Linked DNA regions of Lepisosteus oculatus. The protein of the gene in region 2 purifies or fractionates together with the protein of the main gene of each other region. This does not show direct contact. Links are inferred from orthologs where the notes say so. Each region holds a gene or a part of one and is shown on either strand. Other genes may lie near its edges.

The links. The genes of interacting proteins can lie anywhere in the genome.
Region 1: the proteins of mycbp2 (region 2) and fbxo45 purify together in Homo sapiens (affinity purification with western blotting; 7 studies listed by BioGRID and IntAct, with this or other methods). This does not show direct contact. The link is inferred for Lepisosteus oculatus from reciprocal best matches to the Homo sapiens genes MYCBP2 and FBXO45.

The regions. Positions count from the first base shown.
Region 1 is NC_090708.1:21,112,255-21,120,147, forward strand, and holds the start of fbxo45 (F-box/SPRY domain-containing protein 1), read right to left. Parts: upstream 3,020-7,893; 5' UTR 2,734-3,019; coding exon 2,437-2,733; intron 1-2,436. UniProt on the Homo sapiens protein: Component of E3 ubiquitin ligase complex consisting of FBXO45, MYCBP2 and SKP1. Functions in substrate recognition but also plays an important role in assembly of the complex.
Region 2 is NC_090710.1:17,051,378-17,058,795, forward strand, and holds the start of mycbp2 (E3 ubiquitin-protein ligase MYCBP2), read left to right. Parts: upstream 1-4,417; 5' UTR 4,418-4,492; intron 4,493-5,036; exon of another isoform or gene 5,037-5,214; intron 5,215-5,735; 5' UTR 5,736-5,978; exon of another isoform or gene 5,979-6,264; 5' UTR 6,265-6,265; coding exon 6,266-6,534; intron 6,535-7,418. UniProt on the Homo sapiens protein: Atypical E3 ubiquitin-protein ligase which specifically mediates ubiquitination of threonine and serine residues on target proteins, instead of ubiquitinating lysine residues.

The DNA of each region.
Region 1 (7,893 bases), on a different chromosome or scaffold from region 2:
GTGTTATTATTCACTTAACTCGAAGACGTTAGTTATTCACTTAACTTAAGACGAATAAAAAAAGACAGTCTTGCAATCCGTTTAGAATGCCTTGATATCCAAAACATCACCCGGAAGATATGTCAGTTCAGCTTTTCCAGACCAAGCTGCTGCTCAGTTATCTTATAGTGTGTAATTTCCACAGTTTATCTGGAGACTATTTCTGACCGTCACACATGTCTCTAGCCAAGAGCCGACATGCTGTGCCACACAGCCACAGCCCCACTGATGGGAAGTGACGTTTCTCCACCCTGCAGGTCCCAGTTCTGGGACCAGTATAACTGATGTCACAGGCATCAGTGACGTCCGGGGGCTGGTGTGCTTCAACTAGTCTCAATACAGCGACCCACCGTGATGATTTGGTCCAGTTGACCCGATTAAGACATGAACAGCAGAGGGGAGAAAAAAAAATATTTCTGGGTGCCAAAAATGTTATTAGAGTAGGTCAAGAATTTTCCCCTTCCCTTAATTTTTCCACACTTTTTTTGGCCCCTTGTGTTTTAGTCATGTTTCCACTGAACCAACTGGAGTACTGTAATGAGAACTGTAAATCAAATGCCTTGAAAAACATTCCACTTGTCTGAGTTTGTTGAACTCCTCTTTTTCTCCTGACTCCGGAAAAATCCCACATGGCCTCAATCAGATTTTTAGGTGGCCAATCAAGATTTATAGCATGCTAGTTTCCACCTCAGTTCTTAAATGTATAACTATAATAGTAGCACATTTTGAACTGCAAAATATGATAAATAATCCCAAGTTTTGCACAGTAATGTATTTTGACACTTTGTTGTCTATCCACATATCTCCAAACTGAAGGTGTATTAATAAAAGAGATCCCAGGGATTATTTTAAGTTCATCAAATAGGATGGAATGACATAATTAGAAACCAAATAGAAGCCAGCTTCACAACAATATGAGGAAAAAAACGAGAAATATTTCTGCATTATCAGGACATGCGTGTAGTAGAAGCAAAGAGGCTGAAAACATTTTAGGTGAAGGTTTAATGGCGTGCTTGAGTCACACAGACGAAAGGAAAATGACCAGAGGACAACACAGTGGTGCAGTGGTCAGCACTGCTGCCTCACAGCGTTGGGGTTTAATTCCTGGGGTGCTATCTGTGAGGAGTTTGTATGTTCTCCCCAGGTTTGTATGGTTTTCTTCCAACAGTCCATAAACATACTGGTAGGTGAACTGACTTCTGGGAAAACTGGCCCTGGTGTGAGTGTATGTCTGTGTATGCCCTGTGATGGACTGGTGTCCCATTCAGTGTGTGTTCTGCCTTGCACCTGTTGCTTGCTGGGAAAGGGTCCAGCCATGTACTGGATATAGTGGTTAGATAATGAATGGATAGCAAAGCACTACTGCTCAGAAGAGCATGTTCCCCATCAGCTTTTTGTATGTTATTTTTCACCCCAAACTGCTTTATTTTACCAGTAAGGCTTACTAAAAATATGCCACGTAAATTTATCCAAGGTGGTGAATAAAAAATAGTATTGTCCTAAATGGTAAAAAATATATTTTACTCACATAACTGCGAGCAAACACATACTTCAGATTGTAACAGGCTACTGGTGAGTTATCGTCAAATGTATTAATCTGCCAAATTTGCTTTTACCAAACCCTGACTGTGGCTATTGAACAGCCTGACCCAGATCAGACAGAACTTCTCACACCAGATAAACCACCAGGGGTTCCAGACGGGCAGTTAGTGAGACGCACAACACCGCCGTCCTCCAGTTTACTGATCCATCTTTACGTTTCACAGCTTGGATTAAACAAATGTAAATGTCTATCCCATGCTGAAAAGAGAAGGAAGGAAACACAACGTTTCGGCTGTTTCGGGTGTGAAGAAGGCTACACAAGTGAAACGTTGCATTTCCTTTCTTCTCTTTTCAGCAAGGAATAAACCTTTAACTTTAAGCCTACACATGCTGACGCAGCTCCCTACTTGAACTATATGTAAACATTTCAACAGTCTCTAAAATTAACTTGTAATAGATAATATACCCGACAGCCTGTATCAGGGTAACCCAATGTCCCTTTGTAAGGGCCTAAGAAACTAACAGTAACGCCCAAGTGTTTAAACTTAAACGTCCGACTGTCCGTACTCTAAACGCGACATTATTAGATGAACTAAACTGCCCCCAGTCATTACATTTCAGGTGCTAGCATGCTGAATTTGTTCCGCGATTAAAAGCACACTGGTTAGGCCAAGAGCTGGGTTTTAAAGATGCGCTAGGGGAGACAAAAAGGACGATTTAAACACAATCTCCGATGTACCGAGTACGCCTTCGCACTGATGTCAAAAACAAAACGACAGCCAGACACTTTACTTGGAATGAAATCGCGTTAATAGTGCGGCTATACTCTATGACAGTGTCAGACCCAATGTTTACCTTTCCTTTGTAGGTGGGCAGGTTGCAGAGAATATCCGAGCGCAGCGCCTCTTCCCCCAGCGTGCGGACGCACAGGCTCCGATAGACCTCGCTGTTCTCGTCGGCGCTGAGGCATCGGTGCCAGTGTCTGCACACCAATGCGCAGCGGAGCAGGTCCCGCAGCTCCAGGTAGGAGAACACATGCTCCAAAACCCGGCAAGGCAACCTGCCTGCAACCCCTGCCCCGGCGGCTGTGCCAGCGCTCGGAGCAGCTGTCCCTGTGGAGAAAGACGCCCCTCCGGCCGCCGCTCCCGACATCCTATAGCACAAAATAAACCCCACAGAGACAGGCAGGTCACCAAGGCAGCGAGTCGGAGGGAGAAAATTCCAAAATGCAAAATGCAAACTCGCAGGCTGTGCGAGACCGGATCGGAACCGGGACACAGCCGGTGCAGAATACAGATCCAGTCACTTACACGCACACTGAAAGCGGGGAGGAAACAGACCAACAAAACCAAGGGTCCTGTTAAGACGCTAGTATACAGACGTAAAACCGGAGGAGCGCGAAGAAGCCGTCAGCATCGACTCGTTTATTATCGTGCCATAAAATGAGTACTGAAGGAATTGCATTTTCCGAGTCAATCAGTAAGTTCTTCGTATTTCACTTGAGGGTATAATCATTTGTCCTTTTACACCCCTGTTAGGACCCCATGAAGACGCCTGGTCAGCTACCGTAAACACAAGTGGGAGTGTCTCATTTGCTGCACAGCAAGAGTAAAAAATTCCGTCTCTGTGCTCCGCTTGACTTGGCTCGTTTTAAATGAGATTAACCCTTTGGAATGAATGTAGACTTTAAGAAGTGTAAAAATTCAATCCAGGTATGTTATATTAAAATTGCGCAACGCACTAGTAAGACCTAATTTAAAATACTGTGCATAAATTTGGTCACCACTATAGAATCATATTTTACTGCTGTGGAATGCTGGGCTTCAGTGGTTCAGAGCAACCAAACACATTCCTGGCCCGAAACATGTCCTGTAATGACAAGTTTAAAGAGTTTCTCTGTCTTCAACAGAAAAGGCTATGAGGGGACCTAATTCAAGTTTTCAAAATTGTCAAAGCCTTTGACAAGGTCTTTTTCCTGAATATACAGTGAACCATGAACCAGTGAACATAAACTGGAAATAACAAGGTCCATAAAACTGAGTACTGGGGGAATGTCTGTACACAGAGGATTGTGGGAGTTTAGAACAAGCTAGGCAGCTATATTATTGAAGATGGTGTCCTGGGTTCTTTCATCTAATGGCTGAATTAGATCCTTTGATGAATTAGCTTCTAACTACTGAACAACCCAAATAAGATGAGTAACCCACTTTTATTGTAATTTTACCTGTGCCTTATTATTTGGCAAGCTGTTCTTTCACAACTAAACACATAAAAATGATTTAATTAATAACTATTTGCTGGCCCCTGCTCAGATATGGCTTCTCTGCTCTTTGTCCTCTTACTAAGCTTTTCAAAGAATTTCTGCAATCTGGTCTTGTATCTGCAGATAGTGTTCTGCTATCACACCTGTGCCAAACCAGGTCTGGAACTCCAAGTAGCTAACAACCACAACCCTATTTACAATGTGTCCCTTCTTGCAAAAATTATGGAGTGGGCAGTTAAAGGTGATGAGCTCTTTGAACGTTTCCTTTTTGTTTACCCGAAGAATTGAAAAGAGCTTGTGTTAAGGTATTTAATGAATGGCTGATGGCTTCAGACTTGTTTAGTATTTTTGTTCTCCTTCTGGACTTAAATGAAACTGACAATTACAACCTCCTGCTGGATACAAGGGATCACTGAGGCAGACATTTATTCCCACTTGGAATTTGGGTCTTGTTCAACCAAAAAGCATGCTCCACACACAGGGTGATTTGGATTTCCTGAGTGCAGTAACATGTCTGTAGAATCCACTGCTCAGACACGCTGCTCTTGTCATTAAATAAGTACAAAATGCTATGTTTCAATCTTTTCACTGGAGGAATGTTATGAGTGTTACTGCTCGGAAAGCTCATAATCACCTGAAGGCAATAATTTCATTTTTTATTTCTATTTCAGACACTGTCGCAATATTTCCGACCGTAATCAAGAGTCAAAGCACAGTTTTTATTTTTTGTTAATAATTCTCCCTGTGCATTAAGACATTTCTAATTCTCTAGGACCGGAACCCACAAAGTCACAGATTATTGTCACATAACCAGAACAAATAATATCCCAGACACCTGTCACATGACCCAGGTCCGGCTTCAGTTGCCACTAGTCGGAAGTGACGTTTGCTGATGTAGGTTTGGTTGGTGCGCAGCAGTTCTAGACAGAGAGGAAAGGGGAGACACAAGAGACGAGAAAAATATATAACAATACCAGAGGGAAAGAAGAGACAGGAAAAGGAAAATCGGTTGAGCAAGCCTAAAAAACGTAAGTATCATGCTTCGTTGCAAATACTAGCAGTGCTATGCGTGTCTTTGTGTCGTACCTGTTGCAAGTGCTGGATACTTCGAGGCAGGGTGGGTTGAAGGGTGAATGGGATACAGAATAACCGAGGGATACGAGATGCTGAGGCTGCTTTGCAATTCCTCCCTGCGGCCTGTGCTGTCCGATTGCCTTACAGCACCAATGGAGCCTCATGGTTGTCGCCGTACCTGGCTTAAAATGCGTGTAACCTCCCGCAATTTGCTTCGCACCGTCCCGATAAGCAGGGAAGAGCTCGACACGATGTGAACCCGAATCGGAGCGGATAGCTGACCTGGACGCGCAGTCGGCTTGTCGAAAAACTTCAACACAAATCGCCGATCTGGACACCAGTAGTATCCAACTAATAAGGTTACCCACGGTCACGCACCGAGAATAATGCGTGGGATGGAGGCAGTGCGCTTAATATATTGTTAGCTACCGATGAGGGCAACCAGCCCCCCCTCTTAAAAAAAAAAACCTTTTAGTGCAAAGTGCCACTTTCCTGTGTTCTTTGTAAATATTGGATTGATGAGTGTATGGGCGCAGTTGTTTCACTTCTACATAAACTAATAAAATGGTGCTTTGGACAAGGTGTACATTTTACATTTGAACGAGTCCGCATTAAATCGGCGGCAGTGAAGGTTTGGGCTTCCCTTAGGCGCGTTAGGCAAATCAGGAAAACGAACTTCACGACTTCGAGGGTCACAAATAGAGCTCAGGTGTCCTCACTAGTTTAGACGTTTGTGGTGAGAACAGATTCTGCTTGCTGGATAAAGATGTCTGCGTTTTTAGTGCTCGGATGAGGTGGTTTGCTTTGTGTCCTTACCTTTGTACTCACCTCGTGAGATTTTTAAGGCAGTATGACTAGGTCCCGAGCTGTTTGACTGTTGTAGGTTTACGTGCTGTTGAATTTTATACTGAAGCAGCGCCAGTCTGTTTACACTTAATGCTCAATCAATGTTTTGTTTGCGGTTACCAAATGTTATTTTTTAATGTGCACACTGCTGAAAATAACATTAATAAGCGTCTTTCTTGCTGCGGATTTCAACATTGCAGTACAACTCTCTCCCCTAAATTCCAGGGTTATCATGAGGTCGCCTTTCAAGTTCACAGCAATCTCAGCTTCAGCACAAGCTGGTGTCCGGTTATTTTTTGGTATGTGAATGATGACTAACTGCTGACATGCTCATCAGTAAGATCTTGGGAGTTAAATTCTTTACTCTTTAGTCCAAGCTTTACTGTAAAATGCATACTATTTTAGACATGATTTGCTATTGAGAAATCCATCTTTCCGTCCATTTCACAATTTAAATGTTAATAATATGTATTCTGTATTCATTACTGGAGTGTGCTGACAGTATGGAGAAACATGTCTGAAGCCCATTACTCATTACACCTATACATCGGTAGTGTCTGCAAAGGGCAAATGTGTCAGTATTTTTATTTACTGAAGTTTAGATACTACTACTCATGTGCCTTATTTGAGGAAGAAGCCATCTGTCTGTTTATCCAAGGAAAGCAGATTTTATTTCTCTGCCTGTTAGATGACAGCTCAGCTCCCTCCTGTTTGATGGGAAAAGTCAGAACTCCCTGCATCAGCTGCCAGCCTTGCGTTTCAATTACCGGCAAGCGGGTTCAGCCGGTTTTCTTTACCGCTTTGGCAGCCTGCATCAGTGCTGCGAAGAACGAGGTTTTACACGAAACTGTGATCCGAGATGCGTGTGTCTCCCGAGAGTGTAGGCAACCGGCAGGCTGCTGGAATCGATCAGGTGATGATCGTTCTGGCTCTGCCCAGTCACCGCTTTTCAAGTCCTCGGCACTGAGCTCTGCCGTGTGCTCTTCTGATTAATGGTCTCGGTTCACATTTGCTTTTAACGTCTCCACAAAATGTAGCACGCAGTTCACTGTGGCGCACGTCGACGGAAAGTTAGGGACTTTTGAACAACAGCTGTAAATTCTTTTGCCTTTTCAGTTCTGAAACAAACAGCATTTTTCTTTTCCCGTAAGAAAGTTTTAGAGCTGTTTGCTTTAATCTCTGGATACTTCACATTCATGCTACATTATTAGAGGTATCACCATTATGCCCCATGCTTAGATTATAATGTATTTGTTAACCTAAATTTGTTGGCCAGACACGGACAGTGCTGAGATGTTGTGTGTGTGAGAGAGGTTTTTACAGCATCCAAGAATAGCTAATGGTGTCTTGTGCTTAAATATGGTCAGGTAAGCACAAGTATCATGTGGGCTAACCATTTCCCACCTCCCCTGGGATAGAGCTTTTGTCTGTGCTTTATAAAAGTGTTGTGTGGCCAGCGCAGGAGGAAAGAGTGTGAGGTGGCTGATTATTATAAAGACAAGTCAGTTTTAACTTGGGCCTTGAGCCTGGCATTGCATCGCATCTTGCTTCATTGAAGAGGCGAGTGTGCAGCAATGCATAAATATTAAAGCATGCCACGGGATTTTGCAGTTGCACAAGCCTTGCATCTGGAAGCATAGCCGTGTGTGCCGTAGTTAAAAATGCATCAGCTGCCGAGCAGTGCCGAGCCTTTTCCGTCCCGTTCCGCAGCATGTGTGCGATTCTGTTGCGTGTGTTCTGTTTCTGGCTACGTGCCTTTGTTTGCCATGCCGGCGTCAAAACAAACCTTTTGCAAAACCAACAGCAGCAATAGTGCAAAATACTGTGCAAAGAAATCTAGAATTTCTAGATTCCAGAGGGGAGGAAGTCTTCAGGCAGGTCGGGAAAGCTGGCATCTCCAGACGGAATATGGAGCCCTGCCTGCATGTTGAGATTGGATAAGGCCAGAAGTCACCCGGAGGTCATGGAGCCGGGAGGTTTCCCTGAGGCGTGGAGTCTGGGCAGTCGGCGTGAGGCACGACTGGAAGGAAACAGGAAGCGCGGCCGAAGAAGAAATGCCCCTTTTCTGTCTCCATCACAGGATGTCAGACAGCAGGTTTTGATTTACTTTCCGCCTGAGCTATCGCTAA
Region 2 (7,418 bases):
ATGATGGTTGTTCCATCAGAGTCTAGCTCTGTGTTAGCCTATTGGAGATAGCAGATCTTTGCGAAATTAAATTAAATATGAAACTGGCTCCAAGAAAAATTATGGAATATTTTGTTTTGAACTTTTGGAAGTTCTGCATTTTAAAAATACTGTAGTTAGGTTGACATTCATAAACTCTTAGCTCCTGTCTTAGTTACAAAACTTTGTTATTGTTTGTTTTGTATCATAGCCTACATCACAATGAAGTGGATTATTTTACAATAATGATCACCTACACCTTCTTTAACTTTTGTTTTACAGAGGCAAACCACTGAATAGTGTATACATTTGTCTACACAATATATATTTTTACATATATTACTTTATGAATATAAAATATTAATATTTGCTAGGAAACATCTATGTGCATACGTGTATATTTGAATGTATATAGGTGAGTGAAAAGTACTGGAATCGTACACATTTTTTTTATTTTTATCTTCATTGAACATGTTATTGTTCATTTTGCATTGTTTTATAAGGAGCATAAATCCTTTTGTCTATGTGTGTATTTTATGAGTAAAACAGGTAATGAGAGCTTCCATGTGATAAATCAGAATCTGAACAGAGACAAAAGACATGAATGCAAGCAAGACCCATGAAGCATTGCAGATCAGATCAAAGGCACACGCGTCTTCACACCCACCTGGCCTTAATGGAATGGAATCGCTGAGTTGTGATTGAATAACCCCATGCAGTTTTCAACAGCAGGCACAAAGATCTCTAGGATTACATACAAGATGTCTACAGTTTCTGTCCACACTATGTGCTTCATTTGGTCAAGCTGTGTGCGATAAAACCATACTAGCTGTAGAAACGTTGCTCAGTGTTCTGGATTATTATTGTAGAAATCAGTTTCACAGATGTCAGTCAAAAAGCTGTCAGTTAAGAAGCCTCTTGAAAAAAAGAATTAGTACAGACATTCATCATTGTGCTAAAGGCTTTCTGCCTCTTAAATGGCATTTATCTGTAGAATAGAAATGTTATGTATTACTATATTTGCATTGACAATCATTTCAAATATACTTGACCAGAAATCATATATAATTGATCCATCCAATAAAAAATAAAATGAAAAACTGAATGAAATGCAGGTAAACAAATGTTCAAATACTAACTTTACGACATCAATAAATTATGGTAACATACAATAATATGTTAAGAATTTCCTGAGAAAATAGCAGACATAAAAAGATGAAGCTGAAAGCATACGAGAATGAGATTAAGGTGCAACTCTTATATAAATAAGCACATTTTGAAGTTCTTGTTTTGGAGTAGAATAAATTCTCAATTTGCAACTTGAAAATATTTGGCAGATTTTGGGGGACTTTATGTTATTATGGCTCAATTTCAATTTTCTTGGGAATTGCACTGTTTTTAAACTGAAGCTGAACTTCTGAAATAAGGTACTATGTTCAAGAATGCAGAATTAAAAATAACAGAATGTTGGAAGATCACCTTCACAGTACTGAAACATGACATGTTTTTCTTTCTTTAGCAGATTTGTAATTTTATCTTCCAATTTGTTGTGTCTACATTCAAGGTGACATACTGTAACACAACCAAAGGATTATAGTGGTGATTGTAGTGCTTTTTATTGAAAATAGTCCTTCGTTTACCCAACATCAGACTGATTTAGCTGAATAATTTGATTACCGTTGAAAACATAAAGGCTACATATGATTAGCTTCTGTTCTCTCAAAATAAAAATGATTCTGGCAAGCATTTTACTCACAGGTCAATAGCTGTCCCCCAGACACTGTGAGGAACAATAACAAATAGCAAAATAAAAATATATATAATTACATTTTCCATCATTATGAAATAAGACAGCCATCTGTGTATGCCTAGAAATAAACATTTTGTATTTAAGTTAGACCATACAGTAATTCACTTATTTACAGGTGACATTTGCAAGTCTGTATAAAATTGATTAAATCATTTTAAATATAGTTACCTAAATCCACATTTTGATGATGCAACAACTTAGTTTTAGATTTCCCCTTTTTGAACCATGTGATGCTTACATTTTTTTCCTGCAGTATTAACAGTTATTAAAAATGTATCTGGTAAGCAGAAGTGCTGTTTCTTATAGCCCGTGCAAGATTAAGTCAAGGGAAATCTGTAAAGCACTCTCTAATGACTTACACTCTCACTCACTCTTACCTGATCATTGTAACCTGAAATCTGCAGTTTCCGGGCCAGCTACGTATCCCCCTGCTCTTGGATGCGTCTACCTAGGCACCGATTGCTCTGGGAGTTAATTACAGTGAAAGACAAACAGAATTACAGTGAATGTGTAGTAAAGCAAAGTTAAATTATGTGAAAGTGCATTTTATACCACAAAACAAGAAGAACTTCTTTACGCAAAGGGTTGTGGGACTTTGGAACAAGTTACACAATCATGTTGTTGAAGCCAATACTTTGATCCTCATCAGTTACTGTAGCTACTAAGAGCCGGCTGGGACTCTCATTTTTTTAAAACCCATCTCATATTCTTATGTTCCAGTTGTGCTCAAACCAAGGTAAGGCAGAAAAGTACAGTAAGTAAATCCTGACATGCAAGAAACTATGACAAAGTAAATGTATGGTACAAGCATGGTAAAACAATGGGAAAAAAATCCAAAATAAAACACAAATCTGCCATATTAACATTTCCAAAATGTATGCTGGGATATCTATACATATTTGTTTATACATTATACAATAGACAATATGGAGGTCTGGCATTGTTTAAAGAATAATTTAATTTATAAGATGTAACCAAACAAGGAAAATGCATTGAATGGATGTCCAGCTCTAGTCTGATACTTTTCATGTAAATGCAGATAACAGCAACAGAGGGTAAGATTTCCAAAAGGAATTTATATAATAACATTATACCCAGTTTATACAGTACATTTAGTTATGCAAAGCATAGGGAAATTTCTCCATTCATCTTTACCCTTAGATCATGTTGAGCTGGAGCCTTATGTGGTTGGCACACAGCACAGTACAGGACTACACTTTGGATGCGACACAACACCATCACAGGACACACACATACACATTTCACATTAATTCTCATGGGGGGTGGGGTTATTTACCTTGAAAGCCTGTCTTTGGACTGTGGGATGAAACTGGACCACCTGGAATAACTTTTAAAAGTGAGCTTTTAAAAGCACACACCCCAGCTATAGACTGTATGATCCGCTACCATCTGGAAAACGGTACCGGAGCATTCGGGTCCGGACTACCAGACTCAGAAACAGTTTTTATCCCCGCACTATCAAACTATTAAACTCCCAGCCTCTCTCACTCTCACCTCACCTCTCACCTATGATCTGAACCTCACAGTGCCTTCTTTCTTACAAAAACCCAAACATACATTGAAAATCTACCTCTACCATACATGTCAAACGCTCACTCCCCATCATTTCTATCCCTTTATTTCATTCTGTTGATGCATGTTTTTGCACATAACCTGTTACCTTTTTGTTGTTTTGTACATTGCCTGTTGTTGTTTTTTGCACATTGCCTGTTGTTGTTTTTGCACATCACCTGTAGTTGTTTTTGCACATCACCTGTTGTCTCTGTCCTTCTTTTGTTATACAGTTGTATTGTTGTTGTTGTTTTTTCTTTGTACTACTTATGTCAGAGAGGTAGCTAAATAGCATTTCGTTATACCATATACCTGTATATGAGTATAATGACAATAAACTTGAACTCGAACTTGAACTTGAACTAAAAGGAGAACATGTAAACTTTGAACCCGGGATCCTGAGCTGTGAAGCACCAGCAGTTCCTACAAATTCCTCAAAATAAAAAAATGCATCAGTGAAAGGACAAACAACCCCATAGTGAGGACATATTTTGCATCAGTTGTTGCAATATATGTATATTATAAGCACAAACTATTTACTCAAATCCCCCACTAGTTACTGTATAACAACGTTGACATTTTAGATGAGAAAAAAAACAAGCTAGTTATTTAGTAATATTTAAAGTAAATTCCTCACCACATACCCATTAAGTAGAACAAGTGTTAGATCAAAACGACTTAAGGTTCAGTCAGGAATTTACAAGGTGTCTTTCTGCATAAAGAAGTAAAAGCGCTGAAAAGAATAAGTCTGCTTGTCCTGGTGAAATTTTAACTTTGTTAACGAAAAGTAATGTTTGGTTCTGTTACTAGTTTAAAGTTTACGTTTTAGAAATACGACTAAACGTTATCTGAGCGAAAAAGGAGGTGTCTGTACCATAAAGATGTGGACATTTTTCATTCAGAGATCAGATAAGAACTGTTTTGCTGTTATATTTCTTACTAGTCAATTTCTTCCAAAAGGTGACTTTCCAAAATACAGTACTTGCCATTTCTACACATTCCGAAGACGTACTTACAGCAGCGGTTAAGATTAAAGAATAAAACAACTTTTTAAACCGCTGTGTATAATTAATATTCACGCGACTTAAAGAGGTAAATATAATCAGGCTATGCACATATCGTGCTTGACTACAGTTGTGTATTGCAGACATATTGACATCTGAAGTAACGACTACTGTATTTTGGTAACGACAATGTATGTTTTTGTAATTTGTCGAAAAATATGCGTATCAAACTACGGCATCGAGTTTTGTGATACAGTGTATACATTTACCAGACTTTTATTATATAATAGCAAGTAGTCTAGGAGGCCTACTGACGTTTTATTTTACTGTGAGCTGATATTGCCTGAACTCTTACCTCTCTATATTGGTTACACGTACACATTTAAAAACAGCGTTACACGGTGATATGTTGTAATTTAATTTGTCAGTATAAAAAAGTAAAGCAATCTTCTCATCCAGAAGATGAGGAGATGAGGGAAGATTTAACTAAGAAGCAAATAAATGATACGATTAATACTGCTAAATCCATAACCATTTCACAACTTGATCGTTGAATTGGCCCTGAGAAAATTAATAAACCAGTCTGATGCAACATTTCAACATTGACCCTACTGGCAAATTCAACACATTACCTCTTCCTTTGTATTTCAATGTTATTGAACCCGATGCAGCGTATACTTGGGTTTCTACCTGATATTGAGTCGGGGTTATTTAAATACTGTTTTGCTAAATTTGCATTATGTTCTAACCTGATGATCAGGTTACAATCTGGGCAATATTCAACTAGTTCTCTCTGAAAAGCTCTCCGACATAAACTGGCAGTTAAGACGTGATATCTTCTTCGGAGACCTTAATATTATTAATACCGTACTTAATGAGGTTGGGTGGCAACATAGATAAAATACAGAGTAGTGTTTGTATTCTCTGGGGGTAAAGATTCATCAGCACCTGGCTTTTTTAAATTTGCATAAGGGAAAAAAATATCTGTAGGCTTTTAAATTATTTTCTTAAATGTGGACCTCAAGGTACTTGAACTTCACACTCAGCAGTATAAGAAAAAAACGATACAACTTTTGTATTGCCTAATTTTCATTACAAGAATAGCAGAATTAAAGATAAATTTCGCTGATGATTAAAAATGATTGTGGTTTCCATAGTACTGTTACCACTACTTCCAGCGAGAGGGGTGGAGGCAGTTTAACTGAAGGTTTCAAGTGCGAGATAATGCCGGGACATATTATATTAATCACCTAACGTTTTTCTGTTGTAATGACTTTTCCGGTTAGCAGTTGTAATATGTCAGTTTTGTGTTTTTTTTTCTAATTTTCAAGAAACTCCATGTTTAAAGAAAAACATCTGTGCTCCAGGCTCTCAGCAAATCGACAGCCTCCCTTAGAAATAACGACACCCTTTACTACGTTGATCTGGACAGAAACCTATCCCAGCATGCCTGACAGCAGGCAGGAAAGGACGATGAAGCAAAGATGGCAGCACTGAGGGTGCAGTCTGTACGGGGTCAAGAAAAACACAAGGAGCAAACGAAAACAAAGGACGACATAGCACGCAATTAAAAAGTAATAGGAATTGTCATCCGACCCAACAGAACAATATGGCTTGAAATGTTGAAAACCCGGAGTCAATGAATGAATTACCGTACTAAAAAGGAAGGGTATTTCGCATTTGCACCAGGGAGTGTATATACATTTTATGCTGTTCAAATTGGAGCTTGTGGATGTAATGACTTTTTTGTCGCTGTGTTCAAAGGATTTATCCGCTAGATGTACTGTGCTTTTGTTGACAGAGGGAAATAATTATTTATAAATGATTTCGTGGTAATATATATGAATTATTCCAAAATAGGATGATGTGTGCTGCTGCGGCAGCGGGTGCCTGTGGGCTGCTGTCTTCCTCTACTCCTCCCGTGGGGTTGGGTGTCGGGGTCAGTTCTGGAGTCGGATCGGATTTTTCTGGGATTGGATCAAGTATGGGTTCGTGCCCCGGTCCCGGGACCCAGTCAGATTGTCGGAGCCGGTACCAATTACTCCTCTCGGGGAGAGCTTTGGCGGAAAGATACCGGCGGATTTACACCGCAGCGATCAGTGACAAAGAGCAGGGGATAAACCCGGGGAGGTAAGTTCTGATGTTGGAACATATATCGTTACGGATACGTTCGTGTGCGGTTAGACTACCTCTCCTTTCGGGTGCAGCTAAATTCCCATTTACTTAGCTTTGACTGTGCATGCATTTTTGTTTTTACTCTTGTTTTTTGAATGTATTATTTTGCACGGCATTGCACTGTTTTAGGTGTGTGGTCATGTCAAATGTGATTAGCTCTTTTACAAAATGACAAGTGTTGGGTCGGTGCTGTGTAATTGTCAGTTGTAATTAGCATCTTCCGGGTTGTGACGGTCTTGACGAGGTGCCCGCGGTTTGAGTCGTGTGGGCCCAACATCATGGGGCCGGAGTTCCCAGCCCTGCCCCGCAGATTGCTTTCATGAGAGCAGTTGTCGGTGACGGAGCCATGCGGGGACAGGAGAGAATGGTTCCACTGTTGGAATTTGTTAATGTAATGGAAACCTAAGTGCAACTAAAGCGGGGCTTTAAAAACGGATGTGTTTCTTTCAAAACGCACGGTGGTATTTTTAGCGTACGAATCGGGCGCAGACTACAAAAACATATTCAGGAGGCTCTAGTTCAACCCCCTTGAAATGCTTGAAGCTTTCAGTTTCTATTACTATTAAATGAAACGAGGCCTTTTTTTTTTCGAATGGCAAATGGGAATATAAAGTCCCCGTCCCATGGAAAGAGAAAGCTACGGTATATTCATATCCTCGTCGTTACCAATAGGTTAGATCGCTTTTCCAGCACACCTCATACCGTTGTGTGCTTCTGGTCAGGGGTTTAGTGAAAGGAAAGAGCAAATCGATTGCTCTTGTTATAATCGGTACGCAAGATGACTGCTACATCATCACGTGAAAAACGATGCTTATGACAGCGTACCCTCAATAGTGCTC